Linked DNA regions of Mus musculus. The protein of the gene in region 4 interacts with the protein of the main gene of each other region in a pairwise test. Links are inferred from orthologs where the notes say so. Each region holds a gene or a part of one and is shown on either strand. Other genes may lie near its edges.

Region 1 (4,454 bases), on a different chromosome or scaffold from region 4:
ACAATATATAGTATTAATGTTCTTGAAAATAGAAGTTTTGATCTAGTATAATTTCATGCTGACTGAGAGAAACTGTCATTATGATTATTACCACTAATATGGATACAAGAACTCTTTGGAGTTAGTTTGTACCTTAAAGAGATCAAGATACTAATTGAACACCCTTTAAACTTTGTTCAAGCATTTAACAATTAGAAAGAATTTGCAGACTTGGGTAATCTTTCATAACTTCAGTTGTGAAACTCAGTTTGAAAAAAAATTACCTTTCCAATAAATTACATTTAAAAGTAGTTAGCTTGGGAGTGATAGAGTATACCTTTAATCCCAGCATTCGGGAGACAAAGGTAGGGGGATTTCTGAGTTCAAGACCAGCCGGTCTACGTAGTAAGTTCCAGGCTAGCCAGAATTACATTTAAGACTCTGTTAATAATAATAATTTTAAGAATTTACCTTAATGCTTTCTCAAAATAACATTCTTTGGTTAACCATTAAACAGGTACACAAATGCCTGCCACATGACACAGAAAAGCAACGTTCTGCGTGGCAGCTCATCCACACAGGTTATATTCCACTGAGCTCAGCTCACCTACTTGTTTTTTAGCCTGACTAGCCACATAACTTGCAAGTCCCCCAGCAAAACTAAGATGGAGAGCCTATACACACAGAGCAGGCACTGGGTCCTTCTGACAGTTTGTTGCAAATGCACAGGCTGCGTGATTATTAAACCAGACAATCTTACAGGTTATACATAGTATCCACAACCTAGCAGCCTAAATACTGGTTTTAAAAACTGCTTGTAATATTTAATTTTCTGAACAAAGTACACTTGCTGGTTAAATTGGATGAAGTTGAGAACTGCTGTAAATGATTAACCAGAAACCCTGACACAGTTCAACTTTTATTGAGGGAAGAGGGGAGAAAAAAATGGACATTGAAAAGAGTTAATGAATGTGTCCTCCTCCTAGAAGCTCCAAATCAAGCAGGTGCAGAGTAGATGTGGAATGAGGGTGGAAATGTGAAATTTCTGCTCAGGTTTCCAAACAACTGCAGAGTTCCACACAAGCCCTTTCCACAAGTTAACTGGGAGAGGCCAGCTGGTGTACTAGAGCCTCATTCTCTTGTTGCCTTCTGGGAGCATCTGAAGCAAGTTACAGAGGTCTAGAGGTCCAGTGTCATGACAGACACACTTTTGGCTCATCCTGACACACCGCGGAAACAGGAACCCGGCGAAAAGTCTCTTGGGAATGGCCTTGTAGGGGAGGGTCGGGGTCCGGGAACTCCTAGTCTCCCTTGGGGTGTATCCATAGGGCAGGTCTGCTAGGAGAGTGCGCGCCCTGGGGGCGGTGTCTCAGAATGGGAGCAGCTCAGGAGGGAGGGCTGGGGAGGAGAGGGGCAGAGAAAGGGAGGGACTTGAGGGCGGGGCCGTGAGAGGGGACCAGAGTAAGCGGCCAAAGGAGGGGACGGGCCCAAAGGGAGGAGCCTCTACGTGGGACCCGCCCCGGAGGCCGGGGCGGGACATATGGTGTGGGCGGAGCCAGAGGCAGTGCTCGGGGCGGAAGCCCCAACCTTCTTCCCTGGCGAGTTAGAAGCTGCCCCTCACCGAGGTAAGATGGAATGGGTCGTGAGTCCCAAGCATTCTCTACTACCTGGTTTTCGGGCGGCTGTGCGCGGACGCCTAGACCTGCGGTGGTGATAGCAGCGGGGAATGGTGACGATCTCTGCACCCTTCCCGCCGCGGTAAGGCAGGCCTCGTCCCGCAGGGCCTGCTAATCGCTTTAACTTCGGGGAGCTGGAAACAATGTGTGACCTGGGGCGCCAGGCTCGCTGGGATGCTCGGGTTGGTGGAGTGCCCGCCGGGACGGCATTTCGCCGAGCATTCCCGCGCGGAGCCCGGGGAACGCTTTCCCTCCGGGATCCCAGCCTGGGCTGCAGGCGACGCCACTAGGGCCCTGAGGTGTCTTGGGCAGCGCGCTCGAGGCCGTGCCCAGTGGTAAAAATTCAGGTGTAGGCGGCCGTCCATAGGTGATTTGTGGTTGAGTCGTCAGAAAGATGGCACTTATGTTATTTAAAATTAATAAAATTCACCATTTTTTATGTAGGCCATATTAGGCCTAATGGTCAGCAATCTATAGGCATTCTTTGAAAAGTTAAAGGAATGAAACCCCAGGCTTCTATAACAGTATTGTTTGTAGTGGGACATACTAGTAAGAAAGTAGACTAAGGTTTTAATTAGCTCTTAGCTATATATAATTGCTATGATGATACTGAGATTTTGTTTTATTTTGTTTTTGAGACATTGTAGTTCTGACTGTCCTGGAACTCACTTTGTATACCAGGCTGTTCTCGAACGCCTGGTTCTCCAGGGATTTAGGGCGCGTGCAACGAAACTTTTAAAGTTCAACTTTTGAGACATTTCAGATATAAGATAGGCTGTACAGGCAAGGATCTAAGTTTAATTTTAAATGTGTTGGGTTTTGCTATAGCGATGCGAAATAAATGCATAGCAGTTTGGCACTAATGCTTAAAATTTGAATATGAAAAGACAGATTTAGATTTTTCAGCCCAGAAGATGTGTTTGAAATTTAGGGACTATGAGTTAGGGGGAAAATATGTGACAAGAACTGGGAAAGGGGCGTGGGGTGGGGGAGTTGGGAACTAAGAATGAAATAGAGGGGGGGGGAGGCAGGACAGGCTTTGAGTAAAGAAATGGTGGTCAGGACTGTGAATTTATGCCTTCCCCAAAGCAGCAGAATATGCTTATTCATTGTGAAGCAGCAAAAGTGTGTTGCCATTGTCAAAGGTCTGTGACTAAGCCCTGACTAAGTCTGGAGGCAACTGTATCTTAACAAACAACATAGGTCCTGAGAAACTTAAGAAAGTTCATTCTTGGGTGAGCATACCAGAATCAGCTTATGCAACCTAGATGGTACTTTGGAGTGTGAACATGTACAAGGTATAGAATATGGTAGGCAGTTTTAACACGATGGCAACTACTGGTGTGTCTACACACAAAGGAGACAGAGTAAATTATGGCATAAAAGATTTTCAACAAATAGAATGCCAGTAAAAGAATGCTTTTTGTAACTAGAGCTTACAGGTCCAAAGCAAGTCAGTAAGTCAATTTTGCTATGAGTTAGGGAATGTAAGTGACCTGGACGAAGCTACACTAAACCTATTTTAAAATATCTTATTCATACTTTAACTTTTTTTTTATTTTATAAACTGTAGTTTTTAGAGCCATTTAACATTTATTATTACAGTGATGCAAACTTTTTTTTAAATTTTATCAGCTTTTTTCTGGTTTTAGTTTTCACAAACTTTCTATAGAAACGAAGACACAATCCCACAATCTTCAGGGTTGATTCACAGGACCACATCCCATGACTGTCTTCTGCATCCACATTTCATCCCATGGAAGTGCTTTAGGGTACATATATGGAGCTATCCTCCCCGGCAGACGCAGTTCCTTCTCCATAACGCCTTCTGTAGTGAGCACCTGCAGGAGGCTCCACACACACACACACACACACACACACACACACACACACCCGCAGACAGTAGCTTACTTATTTCTGTCATCTTGAGTTTGATTTATAAGTGACTGGTGCACATGAGCATTCCTTTCCATTGATAAAAAATCCATGTGATATTTGGTCTCAAGTTTTTAAAGTATTTAAGGAGCTCGTTGAGCTTTGCAAATGGCTCTGTGAAGTCTGTCACTTGGTGTTGTCTTCCCTCTGCAGCTACGTGTGTCCTGGCTGACAGGAACTTTTAGCTCTACTATACTCTTACAGGATCACTGTCATAGATGTAGGATGTCCTTGACTAAACCCTCCCTGTGCTGACTGTCTGTATTAACATAGACCAGACTTGTCATATTCATATGACAATTATCCATGTGACAGAGAAGCAGTATTTGCAATAACATATGAAACATTAAAAGTTAATATTTTGTGTGTTACAAATCAAGCTATCTATGAACGGAGGGTACTTTATCAATGTGTAACTACCCTAATCCTATGGAATTGGCTCATCTGGCTTATTTTTTTTTTTTTTTTTCGAAAGAGAAAAGGAAACAGAAAGTTCCATGATCCTCTAGGCGGCCAGACCACAAAGCAGCTAAGATCTCTGATGGTAGCCCTACCAAAGCTCAAATCACAATTCTCCACTGTACAACTAAGTATCCAGATTAAGAGACAGGACTGAGATTACTCTTAATTGTGCAAAAACATTTTCCAAAATTCACTTTTCAAACTAGCGTTACACTTCTAAGAGTAGCCTACAATAGAATCCAGCCAGCACCCAGTGAGTGACATCACTGATAAGACCACCAACGTGGTAAGGCGTCTTCCTGGTGTCTGTTACTTTAGTTTATATTTTGTATTATATAGAAAGTGCTTCAAGGAGTGGGAAGGAAATCTTTCCATGCCAGGTTTACATCAGAATCAGTTCAA
Region 2 (3,820 bases), on a different chromosome or scaffold from region 4:
CACTGCATCCGCTTGGCCTCTAGCTCCTCCTCCTTCTTTTTGATCAGCTGATTCCTGCGACGGTGCTCTAGAACTCGCTGCAGCTCAGGCTTGCTGTCCATACCCAAGCCCCTGCGGGTAAGGAGAACAGTGAGGAGACTCTTTCCTAGCCTGGGACACAGTCCCTGTATTATCTCTTAGAGCGTTTGGGAAACACCGGAAGGGGGCGATCTCACTGCCCCGTGCTATATAGAAAGGCAAAGAGGCCCCCCTCCCACAACACAGCAGGGCAGGTGCAGTACAACAGGTGAGTGAGAATTTCAGACCCGGCTGCAGACAGAGACCAGGTATCACATGGTTGCTGGATATTTTACTAGAGCTTCTGATGGCGGAAATGCTGGCCTTCGCTCTCTTAAAATCTCATGGGATTTAATTTCCTTACAAAAATATATATTTACCCCCATTTTACAAGCCAACTCTTTTAAGTCTAGGAGACAAAAAACAATGCCTGGTTTTCATGTTTCCTTAATTACCAGTCACATGTAATGAACTTTAAAGTGTTTCTAGCATTCACATTTTCCCATTTGCATATGAATCCCACTCATTTTGCTTACCCTTTCCTGGTAGACTAAGGTACACGAATATATGAATATTTCATACTGTATATGTAATTTTCAATAGAATTTATTTATATTGCAAATATTTCAGTTTGCCTGAAGCTGTTTTCCATCGTGGTGGTACTTTTGATACTGAAATGAATGATTATCGCAAAAACAACTGAGAACATGACAATATTATAATATTAGTAGAAAACAAACCCAAAATCAGCTCCATGTGCCAGCGGTATCTGTCGCATGACTTAGAATGGAAATCACGTCCAGCTCCAATACAACAACCAGCCGGCAGAGGGCGCCATGAAGGTACCATAAGCTTCGGCCTCTAGCCTCTAGCCTCTCAAGGGCCCCTCAGCCACCCTCTCCTACACTTGACATCCTGTGATTGCTGATCACAGATGTGTCATAGCCCATTCCCCCCACCCCCGACTCTTGTGTTTCACTGCCATGCTCTCCCCCAACAGAGGGTGTGGCTGAGAAAGAGCCATCACTACCTGAACCCTCTACAATATTTATGTGCTCTCTCTCCAGTTTTCTCTGCCAACACGACCCATCTCTCAGCAGGGTTGGCTCTTGCCCCTGCTTTAGGCCTTCTAGATATCCTCTCTTCCATGATGTCATATAGATAGTCCCCCTATCCCAGTAGCCCCTCTGGGGTCCCACATTCACTTAAAGCTTCCAGCAACTTTCTTTTCCCCTGGGGAGGGCAGAAACTGGGTCTCCGTCTTTTGTATCTTAGGTGTGGGCATGGTGCCCTGCACACAGTAGGGCATCTAAGCACACAGCAAATGGGTAGGGCTTTCAGGTTCACACAGTTTCTTCTGGTGACCCTGTTGGGGTTCCAGGCAATGGCTAGGTCAGCCCCTCTAAGAAGCATTTTTCTAAGCCAGCCAGCTGGATGCCACCCTACCTTTTGTGGTTCATAAGCAGCTCACGGTGCAGCTCCTGATGGCTCCGAGAAGCCTTCACAGGGTTCAGCAGCTTCTTGGGTTTGATGAGCTCTGAGTTCCACTCTCTGTACTCTGGTCTGGCCATGAGTCCCTCGATGTCAGCCCGCTCCCTCTGGATCTCTGAGTACATGGAGGCTGTAGTAATGGGAAGTAACGTTACTTCACGTCCCACATTCCAGCCCACCCTTTGAGGTGCAGCTTAGTGGGGGCTTTCTCACACAGACAGTGGCTTCTGAGCAATTTGGGTTAGCTACCTGATAATGCAAGTCTTGCTTTCTGCCTCTCTATTGTGGGAAACGGTCACTCCACCAAGGGGAAAAAGCTTGTTGTGATTATTGGAGATGATGTTCTCTGGGAGGTGGGGTTCAGAAGTGAATAGAGACCAAGGCTCACAGTAGCTGTCACGGGACTGGGGAGATGTTTCAATCAGCAAAGAGTCTGCAATGTGAACATAATGACCTGAGTTAGATTCCCAGCACCCAGGGAAAAGCCTGGCATGTTGCTGTGTGCTGGGAACTCTAGCACCATGAGGTAGAGACATGGGGAGCTCACCAGCCACTCTGTTATCCTAATCAGTGAACCTCATGTCCTAGTGGGAGATCCTGTTCCAAGATGCAAGGTAGACAGTGCTTGGGGAATAGCATCCAAGGATGACCTCTGGCCTCCATGTGGCTATGCACACACACACACACACACACACACACACACACACACACACACACACACACACGAGTACATATAACTACATAGTCACTGGCTGTGCTTGATAGTTTCGCATCAACATGACATAAGCAGCTAGAGTCATCTAAGGGGGGACCTCAATTGAAGAAAATGCCTCCATGAGAACAGGCTGGAGGCAGGCCTGTAGGGCATTTTCGTAATAAGTGCCAATGTGGAGGGTGCCCATTATTGGTGGTGCTGTCCCTGGTCTGGTGGTCTTGGGTGCTATAAGAAAGCATCCTGTGAGCAAGCCATGAAGAGTAAGCTAGCATGCCACACCTGTCCATGGCCTCTGCATTGGCTCCTGCCTCCAGGTTCCAGCTTGGTTTGAGTTTTTGTTCTGATTTCATTTGATGATACATAGTGATGTGGAAGTGCCAGGCAAATAAACCTTATCCTCCCCAAGTTGCTTTCGATCATGGTGTCTCATCACAGAAATAGTAATGTGAACATAATGACCTGAGTTAGATTCCCAGCACCCAGGGAAAAGCCTGGCATGTTGCTGTGTGCTGGGAACTCTTACTAAGACAAGACACTGACAGAAGAGAAAAAATACCAAACAGCAAAAAGGACTACGTTTAAGTTTCTGCTTTTCAACAAACTTGTGTAAGGAAAGGAAAAGGTGTAAATTGTGTGTGTGTGTGTGTGTGTGTGTGTGTGTGTGCATGCGCGTGTACAATCTGTAGCAGTTAAAGACAATTTGGATAAATGCTATGATAAAAGAAAGCATCATCTCTTATTGTCTACCTCCTTAGCCATAGTTCTGATGTCATGGCAGAGGTGCGGTTCCCTATTCTCCACACCAGAGAATAGTATGTGAAATGCTGCTGTGCCCCTGTAACAAACACACGGCTACTGTCTTGCCTGCCACACTCATGTGTCCCACTTCTACCAAGTACCTGGATATTTGTCAATGTACTTTAGATTTAGGCAGAAAGGCTTCTCTGCCCCAGACAGCTCCTGATACTTGAAATGCTTAGACGGAGGGAAGGGGACAGGAGAGGAGGGGAGGAGAGGAGAGGAAATGAAATGGGGGAGGGGAGCAGAGGGAGGAGAGTTCTATAAAAACAAGTCACGGGGTGGGGGGGTGGGGCGACGACGACAACAACGACAGTCGCTGCCTGGCTGTTAGCCATTAGCGATTAGTGATTAGCAGTTTAGAGTAATTACAGAAAATGTTAGGGCAGATTCTGCCTCCTTTCTAGGCTGGGCTTTCGGAAGCACCCTAACCCCCTTTCTGACACTGTCCACCTCCGTAGTGCTAGCAGGACTAACCAGTGCATGTCAGCTGGCCTGGCTGGTAGGTTTGAGCCTTTTCTGTGTGGTGAACATAGATAGTATTTGATGTAATATTCAGTGAACACTCAGTAATGTTGGTTGGTAATTTGTGATAGGTAATTGGTGATAAAACTTGAGGTTTTGATCTTGGGGAACCAGAGGTCTAAGTTGGATTCCATGTGGCAATGGAGGTAGCATGTCCCCACCTCACACACCGAGATTCCACATTCTCTGTCTCTCAGCCGAGGTGGGCCTTAAACTTCTTTCACACTGGTGCCT
Region 3 (4,258 bases), on a different chromosome or scaffold from region 4:
TCTATTGGTTATTTTTTATATCGACCATTAAACAATACTAAGTCCTCTAATCCACGATTATAACTGTTCTTGGCTATTGAAAGTTTTACGCCTTTCAGTGTGTTTCTTTCTTAGTCATTTTGCAAAGTTGTGGGTACTAAAAGCCCAGGAATTGAGAACCAAGCTGGAAGCTGCCCCAATGCTAGCAGCTTTTATAGCAGTAGACAATGCTATGTAAATTGCTAGGGGAGCTATCACCCCTCCTCCCTAGCAGTGGAAATGCTATAATGCTGACCTGCCAAACAGAATATTATTATTCTGATACCATAACAGCATGAATTTTATAGGAGTAACCAACCACTTTCTGACTGGATTTGAGACCGGCTCCACAGGCAGGAAGACGTTGAGGCCATGCCATGAGGAGGAGCCATCTTTTCAAGAGTTGGCGCTGGAATAGCTTCTACAAGCAAACCTCACACCACAGACAAAACCCCAAACACTTGGTCCTAGTCAGAGACCTAAATCCAAAACCTAAAGCTACGAGACCTCTAAAAGATTAAAGAGCATCTATAACCTTGGCCTTCACAGAGACTTCCTAAAGTAGATCCCCAAAAGCACAAACTGTAAAAGAAAGCTATCAGGAAATTCTACACGACTATATTCAAGTTTCACCCTGCGCCCAAACAGTAAACAGTGGGAAACTCTCAGACTGGGAGGCAATACCTAAGGAACATAAACCCAGAAGGACTTAGATATGGAACCGCATGAAAAAATGTTTTTTCAGCTAAATATCAAGGATGAGCATCTCCACATTTTTTTCAAAAGGCCAAGACAGACCTAATCCTGGACCCAGGCCCACCCTAGCGCTCCTCCCACTCTTCACCACTGGAGAAGCTAGCCAGAGCCAAGTCTCTAAAACGTGGTTTCCCCACCCAGGGCTACCTGTGTGTACCATACCATTGAGGTAATAGGTCCTCCTGCTCCTATCCCCAGTGGGGAGGTTACTCTCCGAGAAGCACACCTTCTTAGGTCTCGAGATTTCCCTGGGCTCAAGCAGTGTTTTGTCAGCCAGGGAGTCCTGCAAGGGACTCAGGAGCGGGGACAGCTTCCTGTCTGCAATCCGCGAGTGTAGTTCTGAAGGGCTGAGGAAGGACTTGAAAGGCATCTGAGAGGTGGTTGCACAGCCTGGGGAGGCTTCGTCCTCACTGGAGAGTGGGGCGTGGGAGCATAGTAGGTCCTCCAGAGAGGATGTCGGTAGCTGGGAGGGCGTGTCAGGGACACCGGCAAACCTTCCAAAATCTGGACCTGGGATGGAGCAGAAAAGGGCCATAAGTCAGACTGGTGGTACTCATAGACACATCTGGAAGCAAGGTTGTGGGTGCTAAGTACGGCTCCCAACCAGAGCGGTGCCCCTCCCCCTCCCCCCTGGCATTTCATCTGGAGATAGAGGGAGTGCCTCCCTGCCTCCTGAACTCAACAGTAAACATGTACTCCTCCGCGGGCTCACAACCACACTCACTAGAGTGATGTCCACATGCTTTTCAAACTCATCACACACGGCGCCGTCCTGCTAAGTTTTTTCGCAATGTAAATCTTTTCGGATTTACCCATATCCAGCCACCCGTGAATCACCTGGTCCCTCTGTCCGCTGGCCCATGCGCCCAGCCAACAACTTTCCACCTCATTTCATCATGACTGCAAAGCGATGGCTCAGTGTGGTGGCTCAGGGGTAGGACGCTTGCTTAGATGGGCTAGACCCTGAGCTCAAAGCTCAGTACTTGAAAAAAAAAAAACTATTTGTTGCGGTCAGCAACTGGGTGTGCTTCCCTGCTCTTGATGGAGCCCCTCCTAAGCTCCGGTGTGTGCATCTTGGACTGCCGTGGTTTTTTCTCGGTCCCCATCAAATGTAACTTATCTAGCCATTCTTTGACTTTGCAAGTCCCTATCTACTTCCTAAAAGCTGGTTCCCTTAGCAAGAAAGCAAGCATACTTGAGAAAGTGTTTTTTAGAACCTATCAAAAATCATACCTTAAAATATACATAGGCAGGAACCACTGCTCTCTCCCAAAAGTGTTTTATAAGAACAATGCATAACACCTTACCCGCAAGATGCTACACCTCCCTGTCTGCCCTTGTAAGACACATCAGTCCTTGAAGGCCTGTCTATCTATATACCCTTCAAAGCACCAAAGAGCTTTACGTACAGCTGGTTGTACACCAGCTAGAAACATGAATAATGTTTTCTTGGAACCGGTGTCCAACAGTTCGGTTAGAAGCAGAAAACCAAAGTGGGCCCATAAACCAAAACCTAAAAATTCTGAGAAAAGAGAATCTCGTCAACAAATGGTTCTGGGGAAACTGCCTTTTACATGTGAAAGTGCAAGACTAGGGCTGGCAGGATGGCTCAGTGGGTAAGAGCACTGAAAGGACACCAGCAGCCTGGAGCCCTGGAATCACACCCTGCCTGTTTTAAGCCAGGTGGCTGTGCTTTGAGACATTACCAACCAGCATAGCCACCAGCCAATCTAAACCCTACAACCCTTCCCAGGTAGAGCTGCCCTGTCCTGGCTAAGCCTGCACCTCACCTCCATTCCCTGGGGAGCAGGCCTCAGGGTAGGTAGGGACCTTGGGATAGAGTAGGTCCCGGCTCCCTCGACCACAGCTCTCCTGGCAACTCTCACTGAGCAGTCTCTTCAGCATCTGGTTCTCCTTCAGGAGGCGCACCTGCTTCTTCAGGTCTGCGTTCTCACTCATGAGCCTGCTCATCAGTTCGCTACCCTCTGCCATGGTGTCAGGTACTCACACATGGGCCTGTGGCCCCATGGAGATGGAAATACAGAGCCCGAAGACCCCACAGAAACAGCCTAAGGCCACGGAGTTCCACGCTGCCTGGCCTTCCACAGCCTTGTGATGTCGTTACCCTTAAAGAGGCGGCGCCACAAAGCCAAGGAACGTCCTTCTTCCTCATCTGCTCCTCTGCTCCTCTGCTCCCAGACATCTCTCAACCAACCTGGACCTGGTGATACACAGATGAATACAAGTATGTAGGCATGCGCCTCAAACCACAGAGGGATTGAGTGTTCATAACACCGGCTCGCCTTTGGACTGTGAAGGAAGGAGAGTGACCTTCTAGAAGGCAGCCTAGACAGGGAGGACAGACCTTTCTAGTACCTTCCAGCAGCAGCCAGAACAGGGCATTGGGGGGGGGGGGGGGCATGTGTCCATACCATGTGAAGCCCATAGGCCACAGTGGCGACTTGGCTGTCATCTCAATGGCCACTCTTCCCATGACATATGCCTATGAGGTTAATCTCTCATTACCTGGCTCCACAGGACCATAGGCCAATGGGACTCCCAGATCCTACAAGAGATATGGGATGCTGTTTTTGAGTCTCACTCTTGGAACCTATACTTAAGGAAGGAAAGGCCCATAATAGAAGAAGAGATGATCAGTCTAGGGCAAAACCCTATGATTGCCCCCCAGTCTTAGGGAGATTCTAGAGGAACCCTTACGGGGCTGGAAATGGAGGCCACTTACTGATCACGTCACACTTCCCTCATGAAAAGACGTCAGGCAGCACATTTGTGTCCACCGCACACACTGAGCACTGGGTGTCTGATTCCATGCCAAACACTAGATTAAGTAGGGATGAGACCCTATGAACCAGTGATCATGAGATGGGCGGAACTATGGTAGTCCACTGATGTAGCTGTCTGGGAACTCACCTGGGCACCCTGCTCTTCCTACTGCACTAAGTGGATGAGCTCTGTCTCTGAATCAGGTCTTCCTGTACTGGCTGCTCAGAGACACCAAGGGTTGCTGCCTGGTCCTCCTTGATGAGAAAGGATGCAACCAGAAAATCCCAATCCAGCTTCTATCAGGTCCTCTTCTGCCGATGTCTGGGGCTCACCATCAATGTCTGGATCACCCTGTGCAGACATTGGCATGGTTCCTGGGTACAAATCTTTATATTCAGTCCAGGCAGCCATGTTTGTATAACATTTCAAGTGCAGCAAGCTTAGATTTTGTGGAGAAAAGAGATTCTAAATATCAAATGCTGGGTCAATTGGCCTCTCTCCTCAAACAAGGGCAATGGGAACCTGAATGAGAGGCACTAAGAGCTTTCAGTAGCCTTCAAAGACAGCGAGTGGAGCACATAAAAGCATTGGTCAGAAGTCAGTCAGGTATTCCCCTTTCCCAATTTCTGGGATCAGGGTGCGTGAATGGCTTTCCCTTCCATTAGCTTTGTGTGTGTGTGTGTGTGTGTGTTTGTGTGAT
Region 4 (3,820 bases):
ACATCAGAGAAGTCCAAGGTCTGGTCTTCAAACTCAGGTTGTGCAGAGAGCTCCACATCAGTTTTGGTTTTCAGGAATTTCCCCAGTCTGTTGGTATAAAAAGACACGCCCAGCGGTTGGTTGGGGAGTTGGATCAGCAGCTAGGAGCACTGGATAAGCCGGGCAGTGGTGGCGCACACCTTTAATCCCAGCACTTGGGAGGCAGAGACAGGTGGATTTCTGAGTTCGAGGCCAGCCTGTTCTACAGAGTGAATTTGAGGACAGCCAAGGCTACACAGAGAAACCATGTCTTGAAAAAAAATCAAAACAAAACAAAAGGCAGCACTGGGTGCTCTTCCAGAGGTCTTAGGTTCAATTCCTAGCACCCACACGGCAGTTCACAACCCTCTGTGTCTCCAATTCCAGGGGATGTGACACCCTCTTCTGACCTCTGTGGACAGCAGTACACACAGGGTGCACAGACATACATGCAGGCAAAATACTCATACATGTTTTTTAAAAGCACACATTCATACAAAGATGGAGGGGCTTTCTTCTTAGGGTACATTTGTAGTGCTGGGTCATTAGGAAGGAATGAAGAGGCCTCTTTGTTAAACTTGTATTTCCTCACGTTTGTGGATTCTGGTATCTGATTTGGTGGGCCTGGAGGTTACAGTTTTAAAGTTTTGTTGCTTTGGCAAATCCCTGAGACAAGCAGCTGAAAGGGAGGGAATGTCTACTTAGTAGCTGCTCACAGTTTCAGTCCACGATCAGCTGCCTCTATTGTTCTTGGCCCTGTGGTGGAAGCATGGTGGTGGCAGGGAGCACAAAATGGAGGAAAGTTTCTCATTTTGGGGCAGCCAGGAAAGCAGAGAGAGAGATAAGAAGAAAGGGTCCAGGGACAAGACATATCCTTCAAAGGATTCTCATTCATAAGACCAGAGCTCTACCCGTCCAATCCTTTCTCCAGATCTCTGCTTGAGAACATATCCTCCAACCCATGAGCCTTTTAGAGAACACTTCCTACCCAAGACATCTATCATTGTCTCAGCCTTCCCAGGGGAAGAGGAAGGGCTGAGCCTAAGGGCGGGTAGAGTCCATCCCATGCTTTCTCCACGCCCACGTGTTCTTGGGGCTTCTACCCTGAAGACTTACACTCCACAGTGTCACGGGCCCTCCCTCGCGGTGGGGCTCTGGAGGCTCTCCATCAGCGGTTCTCAATCTTCCAAATGCTTGCCACCCTTTAGTACAGTTCTGCATGCAGTGGTGACCCACAACTATAAAATTATTTTCATTGCTATTTCATAACTGTAATTTTGCTACTGAGCGGTGTCTCGGTTCCTAAGACCGTCGGAAATACGTGTTTTCTGATGGTTGTGACCCACAGGTTGAGAACCACTGCTTTAGCTGTGATTGCTCCCGGGCAGTCATAAGGCTTCTAAGTAGCAAAGGCAGATTTGAAATCCAGGCCCATTTTTTGCCAAAACATATGTACTTAGGCCCTCATAGTCTTAAGTTCCCCATGTGGCTTCACAGACCCTGTCGTATGTTCCCACAGAAGCACCTGTTTGTAAATAGGAAAGGTGGGGCTTTGGGCTTGGAATCACTATGGTAGCAGGATTTACGCTCCACCGTATCTGACTTTAAAACGAACATGCTTTCTGCCTCAACATGACCAAGGGCTGAGGAGGGCATGTTCCAGTCCCCATCTCTCCCAATAAAACAAAGTTCTTGTGTGTGTGAGGGGGACCTGAGCACAGGCTTGCTGGATGGACTTCACCAACCGTGTTCCCTTCCAGCCCAGTGATCCTAAGTGTCAACACTAAAGGGGCCTACTGACACCACACCGCCATTCCAAAGCCAGCACTGTTTTACTTATAGGGTCACCGAAGCTGAAAAGGGAAGCCATAACCCAGTGAGACTGAGTCTAGAGGCGAAAAGAAAGGAGAAAAGAAACGAGGTCAGGACGGAAATATTACCTGTCAGTCATAGCCACTGCATCCTGAAAAGAGAGAGAAAACAGTAGACCGATTTAGGACATAGTTTTCCCAACAATATAATAATGTAAACATTTTTAACTGGAAATTAGGGAAAGGGGGAAGTCACCCTAATGAATCTACCATACTTGTGCATTTCCTTCCATTCTCCCTGCACCTTCCACGCCACACAGGGTCTTTTGGACCTCTGACTCCTTAACAGTTCCTCTGCTGTAGGACACCGTGGCTGTCTGCATGTTCTCATTATTATAAGTAATGCGCCTTTTTCTATGTTCTGAATGTGAGATACAATGGCACCCTGGGGCCACGGGCTCAAGAGGTTGAGCACTGGTGTTTCTCGTGGCTCCTGCCACATTGCTCTCTATCTTTATGTGTGGATCTCTCACCATGATCACAGTGGGAAGGATGGATGACTGGGCTTTGAGGAGCAGCTGAGGGTTGGACTGTGATGAGGTCAAACTCAGCATCGATTCTGAAGACCCCTCCTCAACCCTTTGTGAAACCAACCACATCTGCCCCATGGGATCATGGGACCCTGTGAGATCACTGAGGTGGAAATTCCCCTCACTCTGCTATATGGGGTTTGGGTCAGATTTCATATGACTTAAATATAATTAAGAAATGGATTTGGGGCATATGTATGAAGTTATAAAGCAAGATTATATAACTGCCACCCTTGGCACAGAACAATTTAAAGTAGCTTACTGATGTGGGCCAGCTTTCCCTGAGAGAGCCAAGAGGCAGCTAGGAAACTCTCGGGACACTGCCCTTGCTCCACTCCATGACCGAGGGACAGTCAACAACCAAGGGTCTGAGGGACAAAGCTTGGAACTCCCTGGGGACTGGCGAGGAAAGGACCAGTGGTGTCTGCCTGTCTGGCCACCAACGAAGTGACGAGGAGAGATTAAGGGACAGCCTCCCACCATGAACCACAGATAGTCAACTCAGCGCTCCAGGAGAGAGGGTAGGCTAGCCCACCCCCACCCGAGGCTAGACCTGGAATCTCATCTCATGGTTTCATGGCTTTCTTTCCTGATTCGTCACGGACCTTTAAGAACTCCACCTTTTCCTCATGACACATCTCCTCTACGGTTTCCATCAGCTCCCTGCAGGCATCGAGGTTCTCTCCACAGCTGACCAGTTGTCCGTATAAGGCTTCCAGTTTCTCTCTCTTTTTCTCCCCCAGAGCTTGAATTTTTTCTTCATACTTTTGAGCGAGGGTTTCCAAGATCCCATTGTAATGGCACTCAAAGTTTTGTTCCTGTCTTCCAAAATTCTCCTGCAAGACAGCGGACCTCAACCATCATTTCAGTGGATGGGATAGGTTGGCCAGAGTCACCGGGGACATGAAACCCTGACCTGTTCATCTTGTCACATTACTCTGTCTCTCAGAAGTGTGCTGCAGTGAATGCTGAGGACTCCTTCTTAGGTCCCCAGGCACAATCACTAATTAATTAACTAACTAATGCATATGAACATGTATGTGCACATACATGTCTGTGCATGTAGAAGCCAGGGGACAACCTCAGAGGTACCATCCACAGGGTCTCTCGCTGGCATGAAGCATGCCAGATAAAGGAAGGCTGGCTGGCCAGCAAGCCCCAGAGATGCTCCTGTCTCTGCCTCATGGCACTGGGATTGCAAGCATGCATCTCTCACGCACTTTTCTATGTGGGTGCTTAGGGGTCAAACTCAAGCCCTCAGGCTTCACCAGCTGAGATGTGTGCTCAGTCGCCCTACCCACACCCCAAATATTCTTACCAGAAAGCACTCCTGTCTTTCCTGACAGCTATTGCAATCCTCTCCCTGTTTTCACTACCTCTCATCACCATGGCAACCTCCCT
Region 5 (3,820 bases), on a different chromosome or scaffold from region 4:
TCTTTGTTGAAACTCTGAAAGTTTGTTTCCGAGCTTGCTTATCACATTTTTCTTTCTTTCTTTCTTTTATAGCATTGTGCTTCTCAGTATTCTGAGCTCTTAGAGACTACTGAGACTCCAAAGTGAGTATAAACCCAGGTACATCTGTTTGGTCAGGAAGGGTTCACTGTGGAAATATATCTTACTGGGTGAGAAAAGTATAGCAGATGTTATGATTACATGGTAGAAAGGCTCAAAGAATACAAGTGGAAACAAATGTCCTCTTACTTAAATTTGGATTTATTTTTTGTTTTCCACAGACGGAAACGGGGTGAAAAAGGAGAAGTGGTAGAAACTGTTGAAGATGTTATTGTTCGCAAACTGACTGCTGAGAGAGTTGAAGAACTGAAGAAAGTCATAAAGGAGACACAGGAGAGATACAGGTAGTTATCAGGTGATTTGGGAGGGGCATTGGACAGACATAAAAAGCTGACTTCTGGTACATACAAGATTAAGTTGGTGTTTATGAGTGACAGGGTCTCACTGTATAGTCCTGGGCTGGCCTGAACTCTGTCTGTAAACTAAGCTAGAGTCCATCACCCTCTGGTGGCCCTTTTAACCCTTTTAATCCTAGCACCTAGGAGGCAGAGGCAGGCAGATCTCTTAAGTTCAAAACTAGCCTGGTCCTCAGTGAGTTCTAGGACAGTCAGGGCTACACAGAGAAACTTGTTTTTAAAATACAAAAAAGAGGGCTGGAGAGATGGCTCAGTGGTTAAGAGCACCAACTGCTCTTCCAAAGGCCCTGAGTTCAAATCCCAGCAACCACATGGTGGCTCACAACCATCTGTAATGATAACTGAATCTCTTCTGGGGTGTCTGAAGACAGCTACAGTGTACTTACATATAATAAATAAATCCTAAAAAAAAACAAAGAAGGGGAGGAGGAGAAGAGAGGGAGGGAGGGAGGAAAGGAAAGAAGGGAGGGAAGGAGGGAAGGTGGGGAATGTAGTTAAAATGCTGGATGCATGCATGGTATGTCTACAGCAGCTACTCAGGAGTTTGAAATGAAACGGTAACTTGAGACCACAAGTAAAAAGCTCTAAATGTGGTTTATAGTAGGTGGTGATTAGACAACTCAGTGGCAGAGATGGAAGGGACCCAGGTGGTAGGAGATGGCCTGTGACCTCATGTGCTGTGAAATGTGTCCACCTGTACTTGTACACACACACACACACACACACACACACACACACACACACACTAATAAAGTAATAAAAGATTATGGTAGCGCTGGGTGTGGTGGCGCACACCTTTAATCCCAGCACTTGGGGGGCAGAGGCAGGTGGATTTCTGAGTTCGAGGCCTGGTCTACACAGTGAGTTCCAGGACACCCAGGGCTACACAGAGAACCCTGTCTTGAAAAACAAACAAACAAAAAAAAAGAGTATGGTAGCTCATGCCTGTAATCCCAACATTTGGCAGACCAAAACAGAAAATTTTCATTAAGTTTGAGCCCAACTAGAGGAGGGCCCTGTCTCAATAACCCAGAAACTTACTGTGAAGAGGACTGATGTCTGCCTCTTTGTTTCTATAGGCGTCTGAAAAGAGATGCAGAACTAATCCAAGCCGGGCACATGGACAGCAGACTGGATGAGCTCTGCAATGACATTGCAATGTAGGTTCCATTTGTGCTCTGCCAGTGTGTCAGAATACTTTTTTATGAGTGTGTTGTGAACTATGGAGAGGAGCTCGAGCTGGCTGATGTAGCTCAATTCTTTTCCTTTTTTAGGAAAAAGAAATTGGAAGAGGAAGAGGCTGAAGTAAAAAGGAAGGCCACCGATGCTGCGTACCAGGGTGAGCTGAGTTTAGTGCTTCTGTTAGCATTGACCATGTGGTTCTGTGTGCTAATGACAGCGTTAGAGGAGTGTGATGACCACTGCTCTATGGAGAGTTAGCTGTCACTTGTTTTCTAATGTACAGTCCACTGGTTTTGTTGACTTGCAGCGTTTATCATGTTCCTCCCCTTCTTTTTTTCCCCTCAAAACATTATTCTTTTTGTTTTTCTGCTAAGGATTGAGCTGAGGGCCTTGTACATGCCTGCTAAAATTAGGCCTCCAGGTAGCAATAAATAAACAAGCTTTCACAAGGATCGGCGCCTACCCCTATCAGAGTTCTTTCATCTTTTGTATTTCCCATTTACTAATTTTTGTCATGTCCCATGATTTCCCAGTCGTAGACCATGGATCAAGCCCAGTGTCTTAGGCTCCTGACTGATCTGCTAAACTGTAAGGCAAGGCAGTTACAACTTTTCCTCTTCTCTCTAAAGTTTGAGTGATTTTGAATCTCTGGAGCAAACTGGCAGTGAACAGGAAAAATGTAAAGATTTATTGTGTGCGTATGCATAGCAGTCTCATAAAATAAGGTGTCTGGGTAAACCCTTGCTTAGCATGCATGAGTCTTAGTCTCTAGCATAACAAACAACTACAGAGAAAGAATCATTCCTGTTATCTCTTTTTCTAACAGAATAAACCATCCTTTATGTTCAAGAAGAAATACTTCGAAAAATGAGGTCTTTCGTACTCCCTAGGTCTCCAATTTACTTGTAGGACTCACAAGCTTGATAATGGCAGACTGAACATAATTTAAGGTTTTATTTATTTATTTTTATTCTCTTCATATATTTATTTTTGAGTACTCCCACCCCTACCCCCAAGATAGGGTTTCTCTGTGTAGCCCTGGCAGTCACTTTGTAGACCAGGCTGATCTCCAACTCAAATGAGCCTCTGCATTTCTTGTGCTGGGATTAAAGGTGTGCCCCACCACCACCCAGGTTTTTTTTTTCCTTCAATTTTTTTTTTTTTTTTTTACATTTGTTTGTTTGGAAGTGGAGGCACAGATACGTGTCACGTGGTGGGTCTGTATAGACCAAAGAACAAGCTGTGAAAGTCCATTCTCTCCTCTCACCAGATGGGTCCCAGAAATTGACCTTAGATCATCACAGCAAGAACCATCTTATTAACCTTAATTAAGGCTCTAGAGCTCAGAGGCCAATAAAAAAGGTCAGCCGTGAAGTGAGCCAAGTGCGGAGGTGTACGTCGTTATTGCTAGCGTTCGGAAGGCTGAGGCAGGAAGATCTCTGTGAGTCAGTCAAGTTTGCATAGTGGGTTTCAGGCCAGCTAGGACTACATTGTGAGAGACACCACCCACACCCACACCCACCCCTTCCTATAATCCCAGAGTTTGGAATTGGAATCCAAAGGAGGATGGGATGAAGAGTTAATTGCAAATGATCAAGAGTTCATCTTGGGTGGTGAGGTAGGAGGGAAACATGGGTGTTAGCAACTGTAAGACAGACTACATGGTGAGAATCAGTGAGGCCTTCTCCTCTTTCTAAAAGCAGATTCTTAAGTTGCTGCAGAAGATGTTGAGATGTAAACCATGTGCTACAGCAAGGACCTTTGAAGTAGTTAAGTAGTTAATTTGTTTAATGTGAGAATCGCCCTGAGTTTGAAAAACTAAACTAAAAAGTAATAATAAAATTTCTAATCTCTGCTTCAGGGTATAACAGTGGCTGGTTTCACTTATTTAACCCTGAAGATTTCGTCTGTTGCTTCTGTTGTAGCGCGACAAGCAGTGAAAACGCCTCCTCGAAGGTTACCGACTGTGATGGTCCGCTCTCCTGTAGACTCTGCCTCCCCAGGAGGTGATTACCCACTTGGAGACTTGACTCCAACCACTATGGAAGAGGCTACCTCTGGGGTACGTGTATCTGTATTTATCGAAATTGATTTGCAAAGGGACAATAAGCCAGCAGAGAGCTGAATAATAGGAAACCACACTT
Region 6 (4,442 bases), on a different chromosome or scaffold from region 4:
CTGGGAGGCAGGTAGCAGGGTCCCAGAGGCTCCTCTTACTCATGCCTGTCTGGGGCTCTTCTGCTCATTGCTTACCTTGGCTGCTGTGATCCTCCAGGCTGACCCTCCAGTCGTCCCCTTGGAGTTCAGCATGCAATTCCGCATGGACTCCAGAGATGAGGCCGGGCTCCTGCTGGGGCCGCAGGGCCACATCACACAGGTCGGCCCTGCAGCCCAATCGATAGGTGCAGCCAGACTTGGACGGGGGGTGGAAGGTGTAGAGGTCACCGCCCCTGCCGCCCCCTATACGCAGCAGCTGGAAACAGGGCAGCATGGGGGGTGCCCCCTCTGCACCACTTTGCCCACCTCAGAAGTCCATTCCCTCTCCTACTCCTGGGTCATGCACCGTGGGCTTCAATTCAGTTCTCTCTGATGTCAACAGCTAAGTATTGTGCCTAATGCCAACTTAAGCAGTGCAGATTCAGAGCGCCAGAGGCCTGGATATGCACCAAGACAGAGGCTGTCAAGATGAGGTTTAAAAAGCAATTCCAGTAAAGTCCTGATGCGATGCAAAACCAGGAAGACGTCTTGTGGCACCTCAGTGAAGCCGGATCCTCAGGCGGCTCAACATCCGGGAGCCTCCGACAATCTGTGCAAGGCAAAGCTAGTTTAAACCGCAACTGGGAACAGGCAGAGGGGGTGAAGGGGCCCTGGTACACAAACGTGCGTGTGACACGGGTCTTCTCCCTAAGTGTAACCTGGAGTCAGGGAATTTATGGTTAAACTTTCTAATCCAAGTAGCGCACCCCTTCCATCTTTCCCCCCCACCCCCGCTCTTCGGATCAGTTCCCCTAAGGGAAGTGAATCCACTGTCACCCGCAAAGGGCGGCGCAGACGGGTCCCTAATTCTGTAACAAAGTGGATCTCACCCTTTCTTTTTTTCGCTCGCGGGGTAAACTGAGGAAGGGATTCCGTACCCTGCGTCCCGCGCTCCCGCCGAGGTTTGACAGCCAAGGAAGCCGCCCCGAAGGCGGGGCTTGGGTGAAGGCGCGCGCGCGCGCTGCGCAGACTCCTCCTTCGGAATTCCCGGGTCCGACTTCGCGCCCGCGAGCCCGCCCCCCCGCCGGCTGCTTCTGATTGGCCATCTGAGTTGCACCCATTTGCTCTATTGGCCGATGCGCAGGGGGGAGTTGCTCATCTCCCGCTCTCCGCCACTTCTGATTGGCCGGCACGTTTTCCCGGGTTCCCGGGGAGAGGAGGGGCCGTCAGGGCGCGGAGAAAGTTTGGGGCGTCAGGGTGCCTGCTTGCACCTTTCTTCTTCCTATTTCCGGTAGGGAGAAATGGAGCTGTAGAGCAGCCCGCCGCCCCGCGCATGCGTGATCTGGGTGTGGCGTCTAGACTGGGTGCTAGGTGTAAGGGGCGTGGCAAGAGGGCGGATCTCGCGCTGGGTAAGGGGCGTTCGGGGAGAGTCAGTTGGGGGCGGGAAGAGTCTGAGAGGGGGCGCAAGGGGGGCGGAGGGGATCCACAGGGCAAGAGGGGTGCAGGAGCTGGGTCAAAGGATAGATGAGGAGGTCAAGACAGCCTCAGAGTTCAGGGTCCTGACGGGGATTAGCCCGGGGTGTGTGCGGGAGAGAAGTGGGGGAGACAGGACAGGGAGCGACCAAGATAATTCCATCGAAAAAGACTCATACTAGGTCTAGGAAGAGAAACGGGTAGGAATCGCGGGGGTTGAGTGAAAAAAAAAAAAACCCAAAAACTTGAATTCTGATGGAAGTGGGGGAAAGAAGATGCTGTAGGACTCCGAAGAGAGATGCATCGGGAATGGAAGCCGAGGGGATAGAGAGCAACTGAGGCCCGTTACAGAGAGGCCCAGATGAGTTGCCAGGAAGCTGGCTTCCCAGCAACGGGCTCCCGGCTGCTCCGATTCCTCAGGGATCCTAGGGAAGACGCTTAACCCCACATGTGGCCTCATTCTTCCCGGACCAGGCCTTGGGCTAACTCTTTAATAGGAAATGACTCAGAAATCCTGGCTCGATGGTGCCTAGATGGGCTTCCCAACGGCCCTACCATTCCATGGCAAGGACTGTGGAGAGTGGGCTCCTTATACTGTGTCCAGAGAGTCCTGAGCTGCAGGGACCGTAGACACTTAAGGAGGAAGGTAAAGGCACACCACCCACATTCCTGTAAGTAGAAGGAAGCCTCGTCTCAGTAAATTTACCTTAGGGTTGTTGCCTGGTTCATTCTATCAGGAGCGTAGTTGGGACAAGCAAGTGGTTTGGTTACCGTGTGCCTTAGGGAAGTAGGAAAAGAGAAGCGTACAGCCCGATAGACCTGTCAGTAACTTAAGGATTATGACTTTGTTTTTATAGGGCTTTTTCTTTGGAAGGTGGCCTGAAAAATTGAATTGAAGTATCCTTGTTTCTCCTATTGTCCAGGGGAACATAGGTGACTGGAGACAAGAGCTACAGGATTCATATAACAGGAAGATGTTGCCACCGTCAGGTCAGTGAGGCTAGTCAAGGAGACCAGGATCATCTCCCTCTTCCCTCTCCCCCTCTCTCAGAATCTGACAGTCTTTATTCTTGTGACCCCCTCAGGTTTTGCTGGGCTGGTTCCTCCCTCCCACTTCCAAGCTCGGCCCCTTCCAACTCTGCCAAGAATGGCCCCGACCTGGGCTTCAGACGTTCCCTTGGTCCAATCTCCGGCCAGCCAAGATGTCTTAGAGAGACGGCTAGATGCTCAGAGGTCGACAGTGACCACGTGGGGACAGGATTTCTGTGGAGATGGGCAGGGGCTAGGGCGGAGAGGCAGGTAGGGATCTGCCAATCACCTCTTCCTCAGACTGACACATGGTCCTTCATACACGCATGCCTTCATTTCAGCCCCTGGTTCTATAACTTGTGTGGTTTTTCTATAGGCCATTGTTGGCCCCTACGACGCATAGACCACATGCGTTGGGGTTAGTGAGAATAGATGTTTGGACTTAAATTCTCATTACATAAGGAATGTAAATGTCTTAAGGGAGGGGATAAGTTCTGCAAAAGCTGTTTTAAAGCAAAATGACGTGCAGCTTAGACATGCTGACCCAGTTCTCCAGAGGCATACTGGCTCCTTTTGGAGTAGTTAAGCAGGCCTTTACAGGAATGTGCAACTGGAGCTGGCTATGCTCTGTGAATGTGGTTTTATTTGTTTTTTTTTTTTTGTTTTTTGTTGGTTTTTTGTTTGTTTGTTTTTTCAAGACATGGTGTCTCTGTATAACCCTGGCTGTCCTGGAACTCGCTCTGTAGACCAGGCTGGTCTCGAACTCAGAAATCTGCCTGCCTCTGCCTCCCGAGTACTGGGATTAAAGGTGTGCGCCACCACGCCTGGTGTCAATGTGTGTTTTAAGACTATTAAAAAAAATTTTTTTTAAGGTTTATTTAGTTTTATTTATAGGAGTACATTGTACTCCTATACACACCGGAAGAGGGTATCAGATCCTATTACAGATGGTTGTGAGACACCGTGTGGTTGCTAGGAATTGAACTCAGGACCTTTGGAAGAGCAGTCAGAGCTCTTACCTGCTGAGCCATCTCTCCAGCCCCTAAAGAACTCTTAACCTCTGCTCCAACTCTCCAGCCCTAAGAATTTTATTTTTGAGCTTAGTATGGTCTGCCTTTAATCCCAGCACTAGAGAGTCAAAGGTAGGCAGATCCCTGAGTTCAAGGCCCCAACCCTGGTCTAGAGATTGAGTTTCAGGACAGTTAGGGCTGCATAGAGAAAAACTTGTCTGGAAAAAACAACAACAAAGACTTTATTTATGTGTGTATGATTGTGTGTGAGCATTCATACTTGGAGGCCAAAAGAGGGTGAAGGATCCTCTGTAGTTGGAGTGACAGGCAGCTGTCAGCCTTTGAATGTGGGGGGCTGGGAACTGAACTCAGGTTCTTTGCAAGATCAGCAAGCGCTCTTAGCACCCCGAGCCGGCTCTCCAGCCCCTGTGGACATTCGGCTCTGTGTGAATGAGCATTCTTACTTCTGTTTCGTCTGTGTCTTTCCCCCAGTGTCCTGGGGTGTCATTCTGTCAGAGGGGCATGTTAGGAGACAGATTGTAAGGAACTGTGGCAAGTCATTGCTAGCCTCCAGTTAAAGGAAATCCTGCCATTCTCAGGGACAGAGATGCCTCTGGAGCCTCCACATAACCAATTCAGATATGCAGACGCCTCAGACTCCCTGTGCAATGTACCAAACACTCACGGAAAAAGCCCGCACCAAAAGAGCAGGGTGTAACAGTGAGTGCCTGTAATCCCAGTTACGCCTGGGAAAGAGTCTTAGAGAAGACAGATGCCAGCCTGCTGACATAGTGCAAGGTAGGGAAGTCCCCTGGCAACTGAGAAATCAGGAAGGGAAGTGGAAGACACCATCGGGAAACGTGAGTGACTTTGTCATCATAGTCGTCTTTTTCTTCTTCTTCTCCTCCTCCT
Region 7 (3,820 bases), on a different chromosome or scaffold from region 4:
GACACAGTGGGAAGACTGGTAGAAAATGACACTGGACATGTAAGGGAAGAACTTCTAAGTGGAATGAAGATGTTTGAGATTTAGCCTAGGGCTGTGGATCCAAATACCCACAAATACTCCTCCACCAGCCCCCAACCATGAGGCTCATTTGTAGTCTTTCTTAACAAGGGGAATAAACATTAAAATATCAACTTAAAATGTATTTTTCAAGGAATAGTTTCCTACCTGCCAAGCCTTGGGTTCAGGTTTCTGGGGTCCCCCTGCTACAATTGATGAAACCACTAACACCTAAAGCAGTATAAGGAATGCAAGTGATGTGATTAACTATAATGAACGATACACAGAAGCCTGAACGCAGGACTTTCACTGCAGGACTTCTAAATGCATTTCTAAATAGGTCAGTTCAAATAGTGAAAATCAGTTTCTAAAATATGGCTTTAAGAAGTAACTAACACATCTAATAGAAGGTACACTTTGAGTTACAACACCTGCAAAATTTAAGGAGTTATAGTATGAAAAAAAAAAAAGTCCACCCTCAACAGAAAAAAAGTGACCCCATTAGGTTTATAGCTTAAGATTTGTCACTGTGAATAAATTGAAAAAATATGTATTACTTTGTTTTGTAATCTCATATGGTACCAAACCTATGTGAAAATATAGAGTAAGAGTAGCCTACAAATCTAACGAGAAAAAACAGCCCAAATACCAAATGTGGAATCTGCGTCAAAGAAATTACTTTTAGTGTGGTTAGAGGTGACAAATTCTTACCCTCTGGACTTTTGTACTGTTAGGTTGAGAAAAATGGGTGTTTTCCTTTGTATCTAAATGTTTCTTTTCTTCAGAGGAGTTAGGTCCAACCCTTGAATTATTGGAAGGTAGGGAACTTGGTGGCATAATTTCCTTGATAAAAAAACATAAAACACAAAAAATTCCAATTTTATGAGAACTTGGTTCTATTACCATGTCAGTGATATTTTTTGTTAAGCATATCCACTTAATTATTTATAAAGAAATCTGATAATTCAACATATTAGGAACAATGTTTGAAGTTCATCTTTTCCCATTAACAATGATGGTTAAGACTATAGATTACTATAAAGTGTTTTGACATATAAAATTACAGGGCATAAATTTTTTTAAAAGGTTTGTTTGTTTATTTATTAATTATGTATAAGTACACTATTTATTTATTAATTATGTATAAGTACACTATAGCTGTCTTCAGACACTCCAGAAGAGGGCATCAGATTCTGTTACGGATGGTTGTGAGCCACCATGTGGTTGCTGGGATTTTGAATTCAGGACCTTTAGAAGAGCAGTCGGCACTCTTAACCACTGAACCATCTCACCAGCTCCCATAGAGCATAAAAATTATGCAATTAAAAACCAAATCAGGGATTAGAGAGAGATGGCTTTTTGTAGAGGTTAAGAGCATGTACTGTTCTTACAGTGGAACCAAGTTTGGTTCTTAGCAGCTCACAACTGAGCTCTTCTCCCAACCCCTCCAAACACTCACACACACAAACTTTATTGAATTAAACCTTAAAAAAAACACTAAATTGATTTAACATCAATTAAAATAATCTTTCACAAAAGACAGCTAATTAATGTGAAAATTATAAGCTTGTGCGTGGACAGCATTTTGAGAGTACAACTGCATCAAGGGTTATACTGTCCCTTTCCACTTTCCATACAAATACTTACAAGGTTACACCAATAAGCATATGTCCAGGTAGATAGGACTGAGAGTTATCAAAGTCATGTTGGGGGAAGTGATCATGTGCAGAAAAAGCACACACAGAATGAACTTACTTTACCACATTAACACTCAATCAAAAGCATTTATAAAGGCTGTCTATGCACGCTTTTTGTCATTCATTAATGGCTGAACCAGTGATATACACCTTATAATAGCAAACTCATGACTACCCATTATAAGATCACAAAATGAAGACAAATACAGGATAAATTTACTTATCTAAAGTCCAGCATTAGAAAACATAGTCACTGGGTGGTGGTGCACACTTTTAGTCCCAGAACTTGTAAAGCAGAGGCAGGCAGAACTCTGAGTTCAAGGTCAGCCTGGTCTAAGAGTGAGTTTCAGGATAGCCAAGGCTACACTGAGGAATTCTGTCTTCAAAAAACAAAAACCAAGCCAAACCAAAACAGATAGTCTAGTATCTATAGTATTAAGCATGTCCAATAGTCAGAACAATTATCAAAGTCCTGGATTTGATTCTGAGTACCACAAAAAGAAAAAAAATATTATATGCATGTAATACAGGAGCCTCTGTATTAATACATTAAAAAAATAAAACAAGACAAACAAAACTCTTTCTCTTAGACAAAACCAGAAAAATAAGCACTATTACATACCTCTTCTTGTGGGACACTTTTCTCATTTTCAGCCTCAATCCTCACCCTCACAACTCCTGACTTGTCCACGATCTCTTGAATCAGCTTTCCATTTTTTCCTATTACTTTGCCTAAAATAAATAATTCATGTTTGACTCGAGGACATCACTCAAATCGTACAAGCACACTCCACTATAAACTATCTTACACATTCAAATACATATACATACTGGATTATAAGATTCAAAACAGAAGCTTTTTAAAAAAATAGTTTAATTATAAATTATTCTCGTTGATTAGGTCATTTTTAAACTCATTTGGTCAGATACTACAGCTGATTAATACTTGTGAACTGATTGGGTAATTCTGAAAATTTAAAGGTAACTCAAAGAGAACCCCTTATCTCACATAAGACCGTATACTTTAAACTAACTGGTACTGTGGTATTTAGCACTCTGTAAAGCTCTACAAAAGGAATTAAGGAAAAGAAGGATAATAAATGTATTTGCTTACTTGACAATTTCAATTCTCATCTAGCTTTGATTCACATTTCCTCATATATACATAGGAACTATTTTTAGAATTATGTATGACACATTTGAAAATATGCTCTTAAGTTTCAGGAGCTTAGAAAGCTATCTAAATATCTAAAAGGAACAAAAATTCTTCAAGCCAATGTTAATAACAGAATATTAGTTCTATGCATTGGTCACAATGTAGAGTAGCATACATATTCATAGGTAAAGCACACTTTCAGATAACTCCAAAACTACCATGAAAAGGCTTATACGTATTCTTTAGTAACATCTGTTGAAATTCAGAAAAATCTAGTAGTAGTTCTAAATAGCAATTGTTTGCCCCACTGTGCAAAATTCAATTATATATAAAACTAGGACATGGCTGCTTTCATAGCCACTATCATACATGAGTGTAAAGCAAGAATTTACAAATTAAGCACTACTAATTCTAGAAACCTACACATGAGGCAAACCAGATTCTAGGGGGACTTAAGCACTTAGATAAGCCATGGGTGAAATGCTTCTATATGCTCATTTTGCCTCCTCAGCGCAGGCAAATTGATGAAAAGAGAGAAGTTGCTTCCTAGCTACTTTAAATAACAAACTAGCAAAAGGTCTTGCAGAAGGACTCATAGTTCTTATAATCAGAGCCACAGTTTTGACATTATTGCTGTGTGTGGCTTTCATACTCTTCCACCTTGAGCTCTTTGGTCAGTGGTAGAAAACAAAACTCATGCCACTAAACCAGGATTTCTAATCTAAAAATCTCATTATGTCTGTTCTATTCTTCTTCAAATGAAATGAAGAACGTACAAAAATCCCTACCTGGAGTATTCTCAGAGTTTGTTTTTTTTTTTTTTTCTGTAAAATCCTTACATAACCATGAAAGTTGATTTTAATAAAGATGCAAATTAGCATAAAGAAAAGTAGGACTTTAGCATGTTTCT

Evidence for each region.
Region 1: the proteins of Fsd2 (region 4) and Esd interact in binary tests that used the Homo sapiens proteins (3 or more experiments, as listed by UniProt). The two-hybrid records come from large-scale screens. The link is inferred for Mus musculus from reciprocal best matches to the Homo sapiens genes FSD2 and ESD.
Region 2: the proteins of Fsd2 (region 4) and Fam107a interact in binary tests that used the Homo sapiens proteins (3 or more experiments, as listed by UniProt). The two-hybrid records come from large-scale screens. The link is inferred for Mus musculus from reciprocal best matches to the Homo sapiens genes FSD2 and FAM107A.
Region 3: the proteins of Fsd2 (region 4) and Spatc1l interact in binary tests that used the Homo sapiens proteins (3 or more experiments, as listed by UniProt). The two-hybrid records come from large-scale screens. The link is inferred for Mus musculus from reciprocal best matches to the Homo sapiens genes FSD2 and SPATC1L.
Region 5: the proteins of Fsd2 (region 4) and Brd8 interact in binary tests that used the Homo sapiens proteins (3 or more experiments, as listed by UniProt). The two-hybrid records come from large-scale screens. The link is inferred for Mus musculus from reciprocal best matches to the Homo sapiens genes FSD2 and BRD8.
Region 6: the proteins of Fsd2 (region 4) and Cchcr1 interact in binary tests that used the Homo sapiens proteins (3 or more experiments, as listed by UniProt). The link is inferred for Mus musculus from reciprocal best matches to the Homo sapiens genes FSD2 and CCHCR1.
Region 7: the proteins of Fsd2 (region 4) and Fmr1 interact in binary tests that used the Homo sapiens proteins (3 or more experiments, as listed by UniProt). The link is inferred for Mus musculus from reciprocal best matches to the Homo sapiens genes FSD2 and FMR1.

Annotation. Positions count from the first base shown.
Region 1 is NC_000080.6:74,730,785-74,735,238, forward strand, and holds the start of Esd (S-formylglutathione hydrolase), read left to right. Parts: upstream 1-1,512; 5' UTR 1,513-1,604; exon of another isoform or gene 1,605-1,705; coding exon of another isoform or gene 1,706-1,737; intron 1,738-4,454.
Region 2 is NC_000080.6:8,299,556-8,303,375, forward strand, and holds part of Fam107a (actin-associated protein FAM107A), read right to left. Parts: intron 1,982-3,820; exon of another isoform or gene 1,798-1,981; intron 1,679-1,797; coding exon of another isoform or gene 1,674-1,678; coding exon 1,504-1,673; intron 112-1,503; coding exon 1-111. UniProt on the Homo sapiens protein: Stress-inducible actin-binding protein that plays a role in synaptic and cognitive functions by modulating actin filamentous (F-actin) dynamics. Mediates polymerization of globular actin to F-actin. Also binds to, stabilizes and bundles F-actin.
Region 3 is NC_000076.6:76,560,874-76,565,131, reverse strand, and holds the start of Spatc1l (speriolin-like protein), read right to left. Parts: upstream 2,861-4,258; 5' UTR 2,787-2,860; coding exon of another isoform or gene 2,783-2,786; 5' UTR 2,767-2,782; coding exon 2,565-2,766; intron 1,285-2,564; coding exon 937-1,284; intron 368-936; exon of another isoform or gene 327-367; intron 1-326.
Region 4 is NC_000073.6:81,549,939-81,553,758, forward strand, and holds part of Fsd2 (fibronectin type III and SPRY domain-containing protein 2), read right to left. Parts: intron 3,256-3,820; coding exon 3,025-3,255; intron 1,982-3,024; coding exon 1,959-1,981; intron 88-1,958; coding exon 1-87.
Region 5 is NC_000084.6:34,611,050-34,614,869, reverse strand, and holds part of Brd8 (bromodomain-containing protein 8), read left to right. Parts: intron 1-72; coding exon 73-122; intron 123-299; coding exon 300-422; intron 423-1,573; coding exon 1,574-1,654; intron 1,655-1,768; coding exon 1,769-1,833; intron 1,834-1,839; exon of another isoform or gene 1,840-3,117; intron 3,118-3,379; exon of another isoform or gene 3,380-3,494; intron 3,495-3,601; coding exon 3,602-3,738; intron 3,739-3,820. UniProt on the Homo sapiens protein: May act as a coactivator during transcriptional activation by hormone-activated nuclear receptors (NR). Isoform 2 stimulates transcriptional activation by AR/DHTR, ESR1/NR3A1, RXRA/NR2B1 and THRB/ERBA2.
Region 6 is NC_000083.6:35,515,803-35,520,244, forward strand, and holds the start of Cchcr1 (coiled-coil alpha-helical rod protein 1), read left to right. Parts: upstream 1-1,450; 5' UTR 1,451-1,939; coding exon 1,940-2,137; exon of another isoform or gene 2,138-2,162; intron 2,163-2,348; exon of another isoform or gene 2,349-2,414; coding exon 2,415-2,481; intron 2,482-2,576; coding exon 2,577-2,790; intron 2,791-3,339; exon of another isoform or gene 3,340-4,390; intron 4,391-4,442. Other genes in the region: Tcf19 (transcription factor 19-like protein), read right to left, coding at 76-313. UniProt on the Homo sapiens protein: May be a regulator of keratinocyte proliferation or differentiation.
Region 7 is NC_000086.7:68,702,329-68,706,148, reverse strand, and holds part of Fmr1 (synaptic functional regulator FMR1), read right to left. Parts: intron 2,487-3,820; coding exon 2,377-2,486; intron 901-2,376; coding exon 769-900; intron 289-768; coding exon 226-288; intron 1-225.